Sus scrofa: one gene and its partner. The main gene of each other region encodes a partner of the protein of the gene in region 2 in a complex. Links are inferred from orthologs where the notes say so. Each region holds a gene or a part of one and is shown on either strand. Other genes may lie near its edges. The genes, in order: TMEM237 and TMEM231.

The links.
Region 1: TMEM231 (region 2) and TMEM237 share a complex: the UniProt entries of both Homo sapiens proteins name them as parts of the tectonic-like complex. The link is inferred for Sus scrofa from reciprocal best matches to the Homo sapiens genes TMEM231 and TMEM237.

Annotation. Positions count from the first base shown.
Region 1 is NC_010457.5:105,254,789-105,258,911, forward strand, and holds the end of TMEM237 (transmembrane protein 237), read right to left. Parts: intron 3,758-4,123; coding exon 3,636-3,757; intron 1,239-3,635; coding exon 1,171-1,238; 3' UTR 712-1,170; downstream 1-711. UniProt on the Homo sapiens protein: Component of the transition zone in primary cilia. Required for ciliogenesis.
Region 2 is NC_010448.4:12,138,900-12,143,189, reverse strand, and holds the start of TMEM231 (transmembrane protein 231), read right to left. Parts: upstream 2,874-4,290; 5' UTR 2,504-2,873; coding exon 2,003-2,503; intron 1-2,002. UniProt on the Homo sapiens protein: Transmembrane component of the tectonic-like complex, a complex localized at the transition zone of primary cilia and acting as a barrier that prevents diffusion of transmembrane proteins between the cilia and plasma membranes.

The DNA of each region.
Region 1 (4,123 bases), on a different chromosome or scaffold from region 2:
CAGCAGCTCCAGCCTACAGACAGCAAGATGGTCCTAGTGTGGTGTTAAGACCAAAGGCAGACCCGAGAGCCACCCATCCTCCATCATGGACGTGTCCGTCCTCTTCTGCTCCACAACATCCAGTGGCTGCTAATCAGGGCAGCCCCAAGTTTTATTGAGGTGCTAGAGAGCCTCTGAGACACCTTTTCCCTCGGTGAGTCCTATCATTGTCTTGGGCTCCAGGTCTCATAGCAGTGAGGTACCAGGAGATACAGCCCTGAAGAGAGCTCTTCCAGGGCAGGACCCACCTGAAGAGTTAGGTGTCCGTGACAGACAAAGATCTCTGACAAAGAGCTTGGGAATAGGCATGGGGGGTTTCTGCTCATCCTCTCTGTCCTGTAAAAAAAGAGGCAGGGGGAAGGGTCTGCACAGGCCAACTGAGTGTTAGCTTAGTAAGCGCATAGGCCTCTCCTTTATTCTCCTGCGTTTGGGGGCCACTCAGCTTCTCTTTTGCTGTATATGCTTTTTAAGGCTCCCTAAATGATTCTGATGGTCAACCAGATATAGGAACCCACTGGTACAGGTCTTAAAGGGAAACGAACATTAACGGTTATAAAACTTTTCAAACAAAAGTTGTATTTCCTTTTTAGCCATGAAGTAAAACACCTTTCAAGCTAAATTACATGATCCTAATTACATGATACACAACCACTGAGCCAGTTTCAAAAAAGACAAATTTCATATTTCAATTTATTCAGTAAGGAGACAACAAAAATAAATAATAAAGGTCTTCCCCCTGTCCTTCCTTATTCCCTAAATTTCTGTTTAAACCTGATAGATATTTTGTAATACTAAAGCTATGGCTTTTTAAAAAGCACCGTACTAGTGCTTTTAAAGATAATGATTATAAATGCAACTAATTTGAGAAAACAGGAAATAAACATTCTCGCCTGCTGATTTCTAGCTCATTACCTCCTTTGTCATTAGGATGATAATGCTACAGACATTAATATTTGAGTATAAGCTGCAGACACAATTGTAACATTTTCCATAATCCTGAGAAAGTGTTCTGTATTATATAATCAAAAAATCGATTCCAAATACATCCATACATATCTTACAAAAATACATTTAAAACAAGAATGGGAAAAATTCTAAATACTGGGTCATTCCTCTGAAGATGAGCTGGCACTATGAAGAGGCTTTGATTCCTTTTTCTTCATCAGGATATTCTTCCACATCAGAGGAGAACATCAGCTCTGGGAGAGAAAATGAACAAATCAGACTCAACACGGTTTGCCAGTACCTCAGAAAGAGTTTTATAGCTTAGTTATAAACAGTCTCTTAAAACATTGACATATTATATGATAATAGAAAGCCCTCATGTTCAAGTAAGAACTCTTACCAGGAAATTTAAGCCGTTCAGAGAATCTGGGATCATTAACCAGCTAAGAGGTCTAATTCTAATAGAGATCATTTTAACCTAAAATGTAGGACGCAGACATAGAGGAGGACCTGGACCTAACACGAGTGCCAGGATATGTGAACATGTTACCTCATTTCATCACTATAACAACCCTAAAAGCGAGTGTTATCATCCTCATTTTATATTTGCTTTTTTTAATCCACATAGAAATGTTATTTGATTCACGTGGCCCTAAAAGAGAATTGCGTTCTGGAAATACTCAGTAAGTAACACACGCTTTGCGATTTAGACTGAATAACTGCGCAAGCCAGGTGGGGGCAGCTTCAATCCCAACCACAGCGCAGAATGTTACTAATTGACATTTCTACATTTAAACTATTACTTAGCATTGATATATAATTCTACATTTAAACTGTTACTTAACACCGACATTAAAATACCAAGAAATATTAAAAAAAAAGGAAATCTTGGGAATCTAATAAAGTCCCCAGATGTAAGCATTAGATGAAAAAAATCTTTGACTAAAAACAATATGGAATAAAAGGAAAACAGCAAAATACCTAAAGCCTAAGAAGATTTTTTTTTTGGTCTTTTTATCTTTTTTAGAACTGCACCTGCAGCATATGGAGGTTCCCAGGCAAGGGGTCCAATTAGAGCTGTAGCCTCCAGTCTATGCCAGAGCCATAGCAACGTGGGATCTGAGCCACATCTGCGACCTACACCACAGCTCACGGCAACGCTGGATCCTTAAACCACTGAGCAAGGCCAGGGATAGAACCCACAACCTCATGGTTCCTAGTTGGATTCGTTAACCACTGAGCCACGATGGGAACTCCAGCCTAAGAAGATTTTTAAAAACACTTTAGTATGTCAAAAGGAATAATGAGTGAAACAACATAAGAAAAGGTACATGAACGAATATATACAAAAAGATTATATTTTTTTGTTCTGGTTTTTACAAATGGAAATATTGGAAAGATTCTCAATTCCAAGACTTCTGAAACAAAGGCTGTAATCAGTTGATCAGACTGCAGTTAAATGCTCAGAATGTTAAACAAATTAAGAATAAAATAATAACCGAAGTCCAGAAAATATCAAAGCGATTCAAAGGTAAAACTGTGGACCATCTGCCCAGGAAATACAACCTTACAATACCAGTACTACACGGTTCCTAAAACAGTGCTGAAGGACTAGCAGTTTGCAATGTGATTCTTCCTCTTCAGGTGTTCCAAGAAGGGCCTGGGGACCAGAGATTAGTAAATCTCGCTTCACCCTGGGTGCACTAAATGACAATGACTGGTGAAGAATTTGTGAAGGCGGAGGAGGAGGTGAGAACAAATTCACTTGAATACATGTCTAACAGAGGCTAAGAGATGATGGATGACTTATGCCAAATTGAGATACTTTGATCAAAAAGAGGCCAAGAGGAGTTCCCGTCGTGGCTCAGTGGCTGGCAAATCCAACTAGGAACCGTGAGGTTGCAGGTTCGATCTCTGGCCTTGCTCTGTGGGTTAAAGATTCCGTGTTGCCATGGGATGTGGTGTAGGTCGCAGACGTGGCTCAGATCCCGCGTTGCTGTGGCTCTGGCGTAGGCCCACGGCCATAGCTCCGATTGGACCCCTAGCCTAGGAACCTCCCTATGCCGTGGGAGCGGCCCTAGGAAAGGCCAAAAGACAAAAAAAAAAAAAAGAGAGAGAGAGAGAGAGGAAGGGAAGTTAAGATTTGGTATAAAATACCTGAAGGGTTCCAAAAGAAGAAATAAATTCAAAATATGTGGACAGACTACAGAAGCCCCCTGTTAAGACTCTGGGACCCAGAGTTCCAGGCATGGCTCAGTGGTTAACGAATCAGACTAGGAACCATGAGGTTGTGGGTTTGATCCATGGCCTTGCTCAGTGGGTTAAGGATCCCGCGTTGCTGTGCCTGTGGCATAGGCCAGCAGCTACCATCTCCGATTGGATCCCTTGCCTGGGAACCTCCATATGCCGTGGATGCGGCCCTAGAAAAGGCCAAAAAAAAAAAAAAAAAAAAAAAAAGAATAAGACTCTGGGAATCCAGCTCTCCTACATACTCCACCCTGCTTCTCTCAGCACTCTGTTTCACCACTCTATTATTACTCTTCTTGTGTTATTTTAAGTGATTGGACTATTACAAGCTACATTCATTACAAAAGAGATTTACAAAGTCATTACAGACGATTTCATGATATTCTATTTTTTTTCTTGAATACCTTCACTAAGATCCATGCCAGGTCTATAAGACAAAAACAGCCAAGATAATCCCACCAGAAGGGCCACCACCAGATTCACCACAATCCATGGCTGGAGAACCTGCTCCTCAATTCCTTCTGCCCTAAAAGGACAGAAATACTCATTAGAAATGTCTTCATTTTGGTCGATATATCCAAATATATCCATTTTATAAACTTAAAAAAAAATTAGCACTCCTTACCTAGAGGAAAAACAGGCACAAAATAATATGGAATTTCCCTGTTAGATGCATCATATGTATCAGGAGAACAAAGGTTCAAAGGTTGCAGAACTATCACAGTGCTACTGTTCAATCTTTCTTTACCTAATGCCCCCTAGCCACTCTCTCAAAAAAGAGTGCCCCTCTTCCCAGTGAGGGAAGACAGCCCGCCCCCTCATGGTTGGCCATGAACCTGAGGAGGCGGACTCACCTGGGTCTGCTCTCCTTCTATACCCTTGGTTTTCTGAG
Region 2 (4,290 bases):
GGGATCCGAGCCGCGTCTGCAACCTACACCACAGCTCACGGCCACGCCGGATCCTTAACCCACTAAGCAAGGCCAGGGATGGAACCCGAAACCTCACGGTTCCCAGTCAGATTCGTAAACCACTGAGCCACGATGGGAACTCCTCCTTACTGTGTTTTTTATTTGCTTGCGTAGTTTTCTGTGTACTTTTACAATTTCAACATACAGTTTCTATTCCAATTTCTCACAATGTGATGTTTAAAAGTAAAAGCAAATCAAATATCCACCAACAGGAAACTGGTTAAATCCATTACCACTTTCTGTATCGATTACTTTGCAGACCTTAAAAAGAAGTTTGATTAACAAATATTGATACATGGGAAGTTCCTATTGTGGCTCAGTGGTGATGAGCCTGATAGTATCCATGAGGATGTGGGTTTGATTCCTGGCCTCACTCAGTGGGTTAAAGATCCCGAGTTGCCATGAGCTGTGAGGTAGGTCACAGATGTGGCTGATGTGGCTTGGATCCTGCTCTGCTGTGCCACAGGCTGGCAGTTGAAGCTCCAATTCAACCCCCAGCCTGGGAACTTCCATATGTCCCAGGTGTGGTCCAAAAAAAAAAATGAGACATGCAATTCTAGACATACTGAGTCTACCCACATGGAATTAGGTCTAGCAGGGGAGAGATGAGAAATAAATGAATTATACACAAATACTGATATATGTGCCAAACTGGGTCTTTAATTTTATGTCATTATATATACCTGTAACTCTTTAATAATTTACAAGGAGAATTCATAATCATAAAAAAGGTAAGGAAAGTTAAATATTCATAAAAAATCTGAATCCTATTTTGCTTGTGGTTATTCATATGAACAGTCAGATTACTTTTTTTTTCATTTTATTAAGTTGCTGGGAAAAATCTTATTTTTTTTTTTTCAGCTACACCAATTTGGCTGTAGGCCAATCATCTCAGAGGTGTCTAAAGAGATCCAACTTTGAAAGAAGAAAATCCAGAATTTTCCTACTTTCAAAGGAAAATGTCTCCTGAAAATGAGCGTAAAGGGGTGGGTGACTATAAAGGAAGCATTCACTTACCTCGAATCAGACACTAGATTACAGGCAGTAAAAAACTTCGTTTTCACCCCCAGACGGCGGCAGGATGCAGCAGCATCTCAGGAGGCAAGCCCAGGGAGGCTGGACTGGGCCAGCAACAGTCTGGGGAGGTCACTTAACCAATCAGCGCCTCTGCTTCCACATGTCAGTCTGCCTAAAAATACCCGCCCTTTTTGTTGCTACTGCTTGCTGAAGCACAAGCCAGCTGCAAGAACGAGTAATTAAAGAGAGCATTAGACATTCGCGTCATGGCTCAGCGCTTAACAAGTCTGACTAGCATCCGTGAGGACGCAGGTTCAATTCCTGACCTCCCGCACAGGGTTACGGATCCGGGACCTGGCGTTGCCATGAGCTGTGGTGTAGGTCGCAGACGCGTCTCAGATGCCTCTTTGCTCTGGCCCTGGCTTGGGCTGGCGGCTACAGCTCTGATTAGACCCCTAACCTGGGAACCTCCATATGCTGCGGGTGCGGCCCTAAAAAAAAAAAAAAAACAGAAAAACCAAAAAAAAAAAAAAAAAAAAAAAGAGAGAGAGAACGTCAACTGGCTTTCACGACTCAGCAACTTTCGCGACCACGCTTCCATCAGGCCACGCCCACGGAAATGGGGGCCAGAGACAGGCTGTCCGCAGGCTATCAGTCTCTGTGTGGGACACACACCCTGACAGCAGTGACTAATTTTCTCGGGGGTGGTGGACGGCTTGGAGAATTCGAATATTACAAAATATTTACTCCCCAGGAAATTAAATATAAGCTTAGGCCAATGAGCCTGTACACACAACTTCTGTGGATTCGTAACTCCTTCAGACCCAAGCAGGGCCCCCAGGGACAAGGACCCGGACCGCCCAGCTTCCTCCCACGCATGCCCCTATCCCCATCTCCATCCATACACCCGCCCAGAACCACGCACCGAAACGAGCGGGACGCGCAGGTGATCCCCCTGCAGTCGGTTGAAGGCAGGGAACGTGCTCCAGGCCAGGAATCCGCCGTGCGCGTGCTCAGGTCCCAGCAAGGCCACGAGCAGCACTTGGTGCTGGAAGCGTACGGTCGGCTGCTCCTCGTAGCTACTCCGTTTCAGCCAAAACCCTGAGGTAAAGAGGGCAGGAGGCAGAGGGGAAGAGGTTAGGGAGGCCGGCGGGAGCACCGGGGAGAATCCTGTCGCGCACTGGCCTTCAGGCAGGCTCACCGTGGCTCCGGAAGGCCACCAGCAGCGGTGGGATGTACGTGAGGGCGGTGGCCAGCAGCAGGAACAGCGCGGCCTTGGAGCAGAGCCCCGCGCGGTAGCCGCGCTCCACCGGGTGAGAAAAGAGTTCGTGGAGCGCCATGAGCACAGGTCGGAGTCGGGCTGCGCGTCCCGGACCCCTCCGCGGTTCCAGAGACTCGACCAACTTTGGCTTCTCCTGGTTGCCATAGCCTTGGTCTCCACGGCAACCGCAGGCGCGGGGAAAGGAACCAATAGCAAGGAAGCTGGCTTTGGTGGGGGTGGGGCTAACGGGGGGCGGTACCCACTGGTGGATCGTAGTCCTAGCTTTAAGCGTTAGGCGCCCTTTCCTATAAGCTGAGCAGAAATGGAATGTTCCGTGCCCCCAAATCTTAGCATCGCCCTTGTTAACATTTGTGTCAAATTAGATTTTCATAAATATTAAAGTAAATACCTGCATAAGTGTCATCTGTTAATCCCCAATGTGGTTCACTGTACACTGAGTCCAGTAACGGCACACCTTACATTGGAGGAAAACAGTGTGGTCCTGGACCTGGTCACTCCTTTGTATCCAAATGTACCTTTTTTCTTTCTTTCTTTTCACTTTTATTTATTTATTTGTTTGTTTGTTTTTAGGGCCGCATCCGCAGGCATATGGAAGTTCCCGGGCTAGGGGTCAAATAAGAGCTGCAACTGCCGCCTACAGCACAGTTCCAGCAACACAGGTTCTGAGCTGCGTCTGTGACCTACACCACAGGCCATGGCAATGCCAGTTCCTTAACCCACTGAGCGAGGCTAGTGATCCAATCCACATCCTCATGGATGCTAGTCAGGTCCCTTACCACTGAGCCAGGGCAGGAACCCCTGTCTCCAAATTTTCTAATGCTTTCACTAGTCCATAGCAAGACAGACACCGAAACAGGTCACAAAGCACCCTGCTCTTCAAGGGATAAGGATAATTACTATATAGCTCTACTATACTATGTTATAGTTGAGCACAGGCTTGACGACCTGTTTTGGGGAAGCTCTGGCCCTCTGCAAAGTTAACCTTGGTGTGTCACTTCATTAAAAGCTCTCCCTAGTATTTCAAACAAGGCAGAAGGATCTTTTTTTTTTTAAGGGCCATACCCATGGCATATGGAGGTTCCCAGGTTAGGGGTCAAATTGGACCTACAGCTGCCAGCTTATGCCACAGGCATGGCAATGCAGGATCCAAGCCATGTCTGCAACTTACACCATAGGTCATGGCAACACCAGATCCCTAACCCACTGAGGGAGGCCAGGGATCAAATGGATCCTCATGGATACCAGTCTGATTCGTTTCCACTGGACCACAATGGGAACTCCCAGGATTTTTTTTTAACACGTTCAACAGCCAACTTCTTTATCAAAAGGACCCGAAGAATCAAATGTCAGTGCCAAGAGATAGTGTGAGGTTTGTTATCAGAATGGAGTCCAGCAGTAGACGCTCCTATTTCAAAACCAACCTAGAAGTGCTTTTGTCTTCTAGTTTCATTGGGATATAACTGACATACAGCACCATATAAGTTTAAGGTGTACAACATAATGATTTGACTTACATACATCATAAAATGATTACAATAAGTTTAGTGAACCCTTCACCTCATATAGAAAATTAAATAGAAAATATTTTTCCTTATAATAAGATCTCTTAGGATTTATTCTCTTTCTTTCATATGTAACCCAGTGCAGTGTTAATTATATTTATCATGTTGTACCTTATATCCCTAGTACTTATCTTGTAACTGCAAGTTTGTACCTTCTTTTCATCCAATCCCCTCTTCCCTCCACCCTGATTCTGGTAGCCACAAATCTGATCTCTTTTTTTAATGAGTTTGTTTATTTTTGGAAGTATAAGTGACCTACAACCCTATTAGTTCCTGTTTCACAGTATGAAGTATTTCTACACATTTCTTTTTTTTTTTTTTTTTTTTTTTTTTTTTGGTCCTTTTAGTGCCGCACTTGCGGCACATGGA